Linked DNA regions of Callithrix jacchus. The protein of the gene in region 1 interacts with the protein of each later gene in a pairwise test. Links are inferred from orthologs where the notes say so. Each region holds a gene or a part of one and is shown on either strand. Other genes may lie near its edges.

The links.
Region 2: the proteins of SDCBP2 (region 1) and ZCCHC10 interact in binary tests that used the Homo sapiens proteins (3 or more experiments, as listed by UniProt). The two-hybrid records come from large-scale screens. The link is inferred for Callithrix jacchus from reciprocal best matches to the Homo sapiens genes SDCBP2 and ZCCHC10.

What each region holds. Positions count from the first base shown.
Region 1 is NC_133506.1:9,012,915-9,017,492, forward strand, and holds the start of SDCBP2 (syntenin-2), read right to left. Parts: upstream 2,938-4,578; 5' UTR 2,786-2,937; coding exon 2,721-2,785; exon of another isoform or gene 2,697-2,720; intron 1,179-2,696; exon of another isoform or gene 1,093-1,178; coding exon 1,020-1,092; intron 336-1,019; coding exon 266-335; intron 1-265.
Region 2 is NC_133503.1:75,432,508-75,435,685, forward strand, and holds the end of ZCCHC10 (zinc finger CCHC domain-containing protein 10), read left to right. Parts: intron 1-537; coding exon 538-805; 3' UTR 806-2,395; downstream 2,396-3,178.

The DNA.
Region 1 (4,578 bases):
TGGGTTTGGAACGATAAACAGGAGTTCGCCAGGCCATCGGGTAGGAAGGGAGCAGCATGGGCACAGGCTCTGGGAAGTGAAGTGCCTCGGCCCAGGTCACCCAGGCAGTAACATGTGGGTAGCAAATGGAAGCCTGGTCCTTTCCTCTGCCATGTTGAATCATAACCTAGGAGCCTCCCATACCTTTGGCATTGCCAAGCTTCCCTGATGACCTCTTCCCTGAACGGACTGGGCACCCAGGAGCCCCCCAACCCAGCTCACTCACCTGGTGTTGGAGAAATGGCTGCCGCCTGGACTGGCAGGGCTGGCATCTTGGGTGAGGCTCTGGCCTGGGCCTAGAAAGGGGCAGGGAGCACTGGTCAGCTGTGGCCAGGACTCCAGGAACCCCAGAGCCTGGAGCTGCACGAGGCCAGGGTCTGGGCATCAGGTATGTGAGTGGGCCCCGGGTGTGAGGGGGGAGCGTCCACCAACCCTCAGGGCTCAAGATCACATAAATGTGGCCTCTGCAGATGTGTCTTTTCCTGGGAGGAAGTTCTGAGGACTGTGACCCACCATATGCCACAACTCATTTACTGCCTGCAGAAGGAAGAACATCAAGGCCCATCTCCCAATCAAATTCTCAGCTGAGAAGTTCCAAATTCTCAAAACCCACTGGAACCACAGAGTGCTGGGATGGAGGGACAAGGGGGCACTGGGGCTGAGCAGGCCAATTCCCACACCCAGAGTCTTGTTTCCTCTGAAAGCCTGCCTCAGAGCATGGGGCCTGCCCATCCTGGACGGAGGGAGAGCTGGGACTGGGCGGGCCAGAGCGGGAATGAGAGAGGCATGTGTGCAGCTGCGTGGTCTCGTCCATTCTCTCTGTAACACCACTGGCATTGCCTCCAGATGCCTTCTCTGCCCAGCAGGCCCTGCAGTGGAGACCTACATGCCCTGAGGCCTACAGGAATTTCCAAGTGGCCCCAATACCCAGCTCCTTCCAGGGTAATCCTCAAGGTCCCCTTCAGCGCCTGGCGACTTACCTGAATGGCTTGGTCCACTTTTAGGTCCTCCAGGGATGGGTACAGGGACGACATGGCTGCTTCTCGGAACACCCTGCAGAGCGCAGAGGGTGGGGAGGGATGAAGACAAAGCTCATGCCCCCTTGAGAGGAGTCAAAGACATTTGTAACAGCAAGCGGGCTGGAAGTTAATATTCAAACAGAAAGGCATCAGGGCACTTAGAATCCCTCCCGGAACTCCGCCCCGAATTCCCTCTCAATATTGGAGCTCTACTGTATTCCACCCATCTCCAGCCTTACTGTCAACTTTTAATCTTGGCCACAGTGAAGTAAGACCAGTAGGAAATTTATAAAGACTATCACACAAACTGTAGCAGAACATAGACACTCAACAGAGCACTGCTCAGAGGGAGGCAGGAATGGGGGATGGAGAGGCACCCTGAACATTCATTCACTAAACACCTTCTCATTGTCCTGGGGAGAATCAGCAGGGTCTCTGAGCAAGGTGCCCAGAGAAAGTGAAAGGAATGATGACGTCTCAAGACATGTTTTATTTCCTTCCTGACGAAATGTGGGGAAGCAGTCTGCCTTTCTGGGTTCCTTCCTTTACCCACTAACCACTGGCTCTGTCACTCCTCCAGGCTTCGCCGAGGCAGTCTACTTCAATGGATCCCTTCTTGGTCACCCTCAGTTCCTGTGGGACAGGCCTCCCCTGGCTCCCAGGCAGCACGGTCACTGCCCCGGGACAGTGCTGGGCTGAATTTCAGTCTCCCGCCTGAACTCACTAATTATGCTGACTTCAGTTCTGAGGGGTCAAGGTGTGTCCTGTTCACCCCACTGAACCCACATGTGACAGGTACACATGACAAAGGCATGCCTGCTGGTGGCACAGGAAACTGAGGGGCCTGTGCTGGGGTGATGTGACTTCACTCACAAGGGCAGGAGCTCTGTCCTGTTCACACTCGATCCTTTCCCACCACGACACTGCCCAGCACACGTGTGCTAGCAGAAATTGTTTGACTGAATAAATCAGTGGTTTTCCAAGGAACAGATTGGAAATTTGTGCGGGTATTTTTGGGTGTCACAAGACTGAGGGGACAGTCATATCCCTGGGAGGGGGGCAGGATATGAAACTCCTGTAATGGATGGGACAGTCCATTACAGTCACCACAACAAATGGTCCTGTCCCACACAACTTTCAGATCAAACCTTCAAATAGGCCAAAAATCTGTTATAGTTGGTTGAATATACAATCACAGTGAATTTTTCCCTAGTTTTAATACAGACAAGATTGTCTGGAAATGCATACAGTAGGTTAGTTGTGGGGAGTTACACTGTGCTCACCATTCTAGAAAATCACTGCCCACCCTGCTCACCATGGGTGAGTCACTAGAACAGCATGCCCACGTCTGTGAGCATGTGTAGCTGTCAGAGTGGCTCCACGCTTCTACACAAATATATTTAGCCTTTGATTCAAGATGTCAGATATAAACTGTTGGCAAAATCCAGCTGAATATTCTCTTCCAGTAGATCTAAGCTGACTCCTAAGTTAGGTATAAGCATGATCGGGTGTAAGCCAGCCTCAGCTTTTACAAAGTGAAATGCATATTCTTTTATTAGAAATTGCTTTCATTTCCCTGACTTCTCCTTTATAAAGACAGGGCCTCATATTGATTTTTTTACCCGGGGGAACCATCACCTAGGCTATAGACTCGGGACAAACCTGCCCCTTCCCTTGGCCTCAATTTCCTGCTTTGGGAAATAGGAGCCACGAGGCACAAGCTCCATCCACTGCGCGAGTCCAGGAGAGAGGGCCAACGCGGTCCTTAGGGCCTGCCTCCACCCTGGCCTCAGTTTCCCATTTGTCACATCGTTCCACGATCTCGAAACTCCCACAACCCCCGCCGCCGCCCCAAACCAGCCGGAAGCGACATCTCCCCGTTGCTACAGGTTACGGCGGTTGCTAAGAGCTACGGCGCCTGCGCAGAAACCCCGCCAAGTGACGCGGCAGTGTCTGGAGTGCGTCTCGCCCACCCGGACTCAGGCGCGGCTAGGCGTGACTCCCACGATCTCTGGCGGCTGCGGAGTGGAAAATGGCGGCCTCCATGCCGCGTGGGTTGTTGGTCGGGTGGGTTACTAGAGTCCGCCCGGTCTCGTGCTTTCTCTGGGCACCCGTAGCTGGCGCCGGCATCCACAAAAATAAATCAGGTAAAGCACCAGAGTAAAGGGATAGGAAGGCTCGGTCGGGCTCCGCGGCCCCTCTTTACCGGATTGGAGGCTGCGAGGGTGAAATCGAGCTTTAAACTCCCCTGGCCTCTGAACACCATTTTAGCCTCCGAAGGAGGACTTATAAGATTCTGTACTAAGGCAGCCGTGGGAAAGGAGGAGAACCAGACCGACCCGTGAGCTCCAGGCTGCTCTTGCGCGCCCTTTGGTTTCGGAGGCGTCAGGTCCCAAGGTATTTCCTACCAATTGTGACGTCACCCTTCCTCCCACCCTCTCACCCGTTTCTTGTCTGGCAGTGACTTCTGACCCATTGCTAAGCTAAAAAGGCCCCGCCCTATCCTACGCAGATTCGCCTCGGGTCCCACCTACCAGTGACTGATTGGGCCTCTGCTGCCTAGGGAAGGGTTCTTGGCTTCGCCGGGTAAATCAGTTCCCGCAGCAAAATCAGACCAAAAGCCAGTTATGAGGGACTCAGACAGTTGGGTCTGGCGTATAGGAAAAAGGCTAGGGCAATCTGGAAGGTCTCCTGGAGGGAGGAAGAAGACTGGGCCATGTAGGATGGATATTCAAGTGGGTGAAAAGAGGGTGCTGTTCCAGGGACAGGGAGGCCCGGGCCTGAGAGTCTAGTTGCCTTCTGGATCCCGTTTACCTCCTGCATGTTATCCAAACTGGACTCATAATTCTCCCCAGCAGCTGCTGCGCCTCCACAGCAGTCCCACTAAATCCACCCAGGGCTGTGCCAGAAATCTGGGCGTTATCCTCGGCTCCTCCCTTTCCCTTCTGCAGCCATACCTAGTTCCTGCCCTCGAATTTCTGTGACCTGACTTCTGGTAATGTTTGTAATCTCACCAACTCACGCTTTGCCACACTCATCATGGAGTTCATTTACTCCAGACTGCTTTAGGTTGAGTCCTAAAACTCAACCTGCTAGTTCATGCCTCCATGCGTTTGCAGGTGCTGCTCCCTCTGTCTTAAATGTCATTCATGCCTTCTCTCTTTTCCTTGTTGTGAACTCTTCTTCCTCCAATTCAGAGCTTTCCCCCACAACCACATGTACCCATGGAGATTGGCAAGCCTCCCTTCTGTAGACTACAGCATTTCTTATATTTGCCTCTTCATCATTCATTCCACAAATGTTTGTTAATCACCTATTGTGAGCAAGGCCTTCTGCATTTCCTGGGTTGGATTTCCAGTGTGCTGTGTTTGTTTGCTCATCTCCCTCACTGGTCAGGAAATGTCACTCATTTGTTAACCCCCAGTGCTGTGCACAGTGCCTGGCACACAACAGGCGTCTTGTTACTATTTCTGCAAGGAGTGGAAAAGCAAGGACAGAGAGAAGAGAAAGCCTGATATCC
Region 2 (3,178 bases), on another chromosome or scaffold:
ATCTTGAATTCCAACCAAGAGAATTAAGTTGCTGAAGCAACAATATCTTACAAAGAGAGGAGTGTAGTTTACAGCAGTTAGGCAATCCCCAAAACATCAAACCAAAGGATAACATGCTAGTAAAGCTCAGTATATACATATATATATATAATCGGAATCATGTAAAATTGCTTTTGGCCAGGCACGATGGCTCATGCCTGAAATCCCAGCACTTTGGGAGGCCGAGGCAAGTGGATCACTCAGTCAGGAGTTCAAGACCAGCCTGGCCAACATGGTGCAACCCCGTCTCTACTAAAAATACAAAAATTAGCTGGGCGTAGGTACACGCGCATGTTATCCCAGGTACTTGGGTGGCTGAGGCAGGAGAATTGCTTGAACCTGGGAGGCAGAGGTTACAGTGGGTCAAGATTGCGCCACTGCACTCCAGCCTGGGCGACAGAGCAAGACTCCATCTTAAAAAGAAAATAAAAAAGAAATTGCTTTTAACATTCTATTAAATGTGCCTTCCAATATATTTAATTGTGTATTGTCTAATAGGTCTAAGAGTGTAACCAGTTCAAGTAGCAGTAGCAATGGCAGTTCAGCCAGTGATTCTTCATCAGAAAGTGAAGAAACATCTACCTCATCCTCCTCAGAGGACAGTGACACTGATGAAAGCTCCTCTAGTTCCTCATCCTCAGCCTCCTCCACAACCTCATCCTCCTCCTCTGATTCAGACTCAGATTCCAGTTCTTCTAGTAGCAGCAGCACCAGCATGGATAGCAGCTCTGAGGATGAACCACCAAAGAAGAAGAAAAAGAAATAGTTGTTCCATCCATATTGGACTGATGGACCGAAAACATTAATGTGATTCTTGAAAGGGAATTTAGAATATGTTAAGGCCAAATAGGTTAACTGGTGAAAATTTTTAGAATTCAAAAGTTTCTAAATGTTTTATATTGCAAGAGCATAAAGAGTATTAATAATGAATTATATATAGAGAGAGACTTTTTTATTTGAAGGGTGAATCCTGTTTTTCATTTTTTTCTTTAAAATATCTCTCTAGAACTTAAAGCTGAAATCTCCAAATCTGTTTGTGTGATGAAACTATCTTTTCTTTCTGTGAAATAAATGCCATACTTTGTTATATATGTTAGTGGTATATACCAGACATATTTTCAGGATGGTGCATCAGAATATTTGGCAGTGAATTTCTAATGCTTTTGGCTATGAATTATGTAAGATTTAATATATTGTTACTGTAAGCATAGGAGTTTTCCTATTGTTAATAAATGTGCTCTATTTTTACATTTATGTTCAGAAAGTTATTCTGACTTTTTGTCCTAAGTGGTATGTTCAAGGAGCCTATTAATATATTTATAGTTTTTGAATGCTACAAGTTTCAAGTTGCTGTGTTACATCATTCATTTTCTTCTGGTTCCTTAAGTTTTTCAAGTTATCCTTTTATAAGGAAAATTTTTCTAGAGGAACCTAAAAAGGGAGAAAAAATCTGAAACTACTTAGGAGTGTAATCTTGGTGCCTTCCGACAGTCAGTGTATCAGAAAAGAAAGCAGCCATGTAAGAGGCTAACTTAAGCAGAAGTACTAGAAATATCTTCGTGTATTAACATGCAATAAAAGGTACCATTCAAAGCAGGGGAAAGGTAGGAGGAAGAGGTAATTTTTACTGCAAATTAGGGCAGCCTTGGTCACCTTTTATTAAAAGCTTTTTTAAGCTTTCATAAAGATTGCCTTTTGTTATTTTTGCAATTATTATAGTATAGTTTATATGCTAACTAGTCATTTAACAGTCTAGTGCATAAATATGAATGACTAGGATTAATCTGGTGTGGTTACATAGGATATACATAGTTGAAATCTAGCATGAAAGGCTAAAAAGAAAATGCTGCACAATATTTCTTTAAAAATAAAATGTTACTGAGGCAAGAGTCTTTGGTTTAACATCACAGTATTCTGTGATGTCTTTTTAACTTTTTGGAAAGAGGTATCATTTGTAGAAAAATTTTGATTTGGGTTAAATACAGGTTTTTAAAACTATAAATGTCTTATATTTTTATGAAAAAGCAGTGGAAAATTACTTTTGAAGAAAATTAGCTATTTAAATATTAAAATATACGTATGTTGTGAGTTTAGGGAACCTGTAATTACTTGTCGGTTTTACAAAACCATCTGTGTTCAGTGGTTGTAAATAAATTCTCAAAACAATTTCAAAAGCTGCCTACAGAATATTATCACTTGACAGATAAAGTTAATAAATTACCAATCAGGCACATTTGATAATGTTTGTCTCTGTAAAGGTAATGTGAGCAGTTAAAGAACATGGATGAGAAAAGAATGTGTTAACATAGGTTGCATCACTTGCAGTTAAATAAAACTCAACAATTTGTGCTCACAAGCTTCAGCTTCTGTTATCTCTTTACTGTTTTATTTAATCCCAATTCTTACTCCATTTGAGATGTAAGGGCATTTGAACAAATTCTAATTTTAAAGTTTTACTATTAGGGCTGTTAAAAGTATGACTGGGCCAGATGCAGTGGCTCACACCTGTAATCCCAGCACTGGGAGGCCAAGGTGGGTGGATCATTAGGTCAGGAGTTCGAGACCAACCTGGCCAAGGTGGTGAAACCCCATCTCTACTAAAAAATAAAAATAAATAGCCAAGCACAGTGGTGCCCACCACTGTGATCCCAGTTACTCAGTAGGCTGAGGCAGGAGAATCGCTTGAACCCCAGAGGCAGAGGTTACAGTGAGCCAGGATTGCGCCACTGGGCTCTAGCCTAGGCTAGAGAGCAAGACTCTTGTCTCAAAAAAAGAAAGTATGACTGAGAGGTACAGAGAGCAGGAGCTCAATTCTTCTAGTACATTTCTTTCATTCAAAAAGAATCAGGCTGGTCACAGTGGCTCATGCCTATAATCCCAACACTTTAAGAGGCTCAGATGGGAGAATCACTTGAGTCCAGGAGTGTGAGACCAGCCTGGGCAACATAGTAAGACTTCTTCTCTACAAAAAATTGAAAAAAATTGAAAAATTTGTTGGGCATGGTGGTGTGCCCCTATAGTCTCAGCTACTCAGGAGACTGTGGCAAGAGAATCACTTGAGCTGAGGTGGTTGAGGCTGCAGTAAGCTGTGATTGTGCCACTGCAGTCCAGCCTGGGTGACAGAGTGAGAAAAAACAAA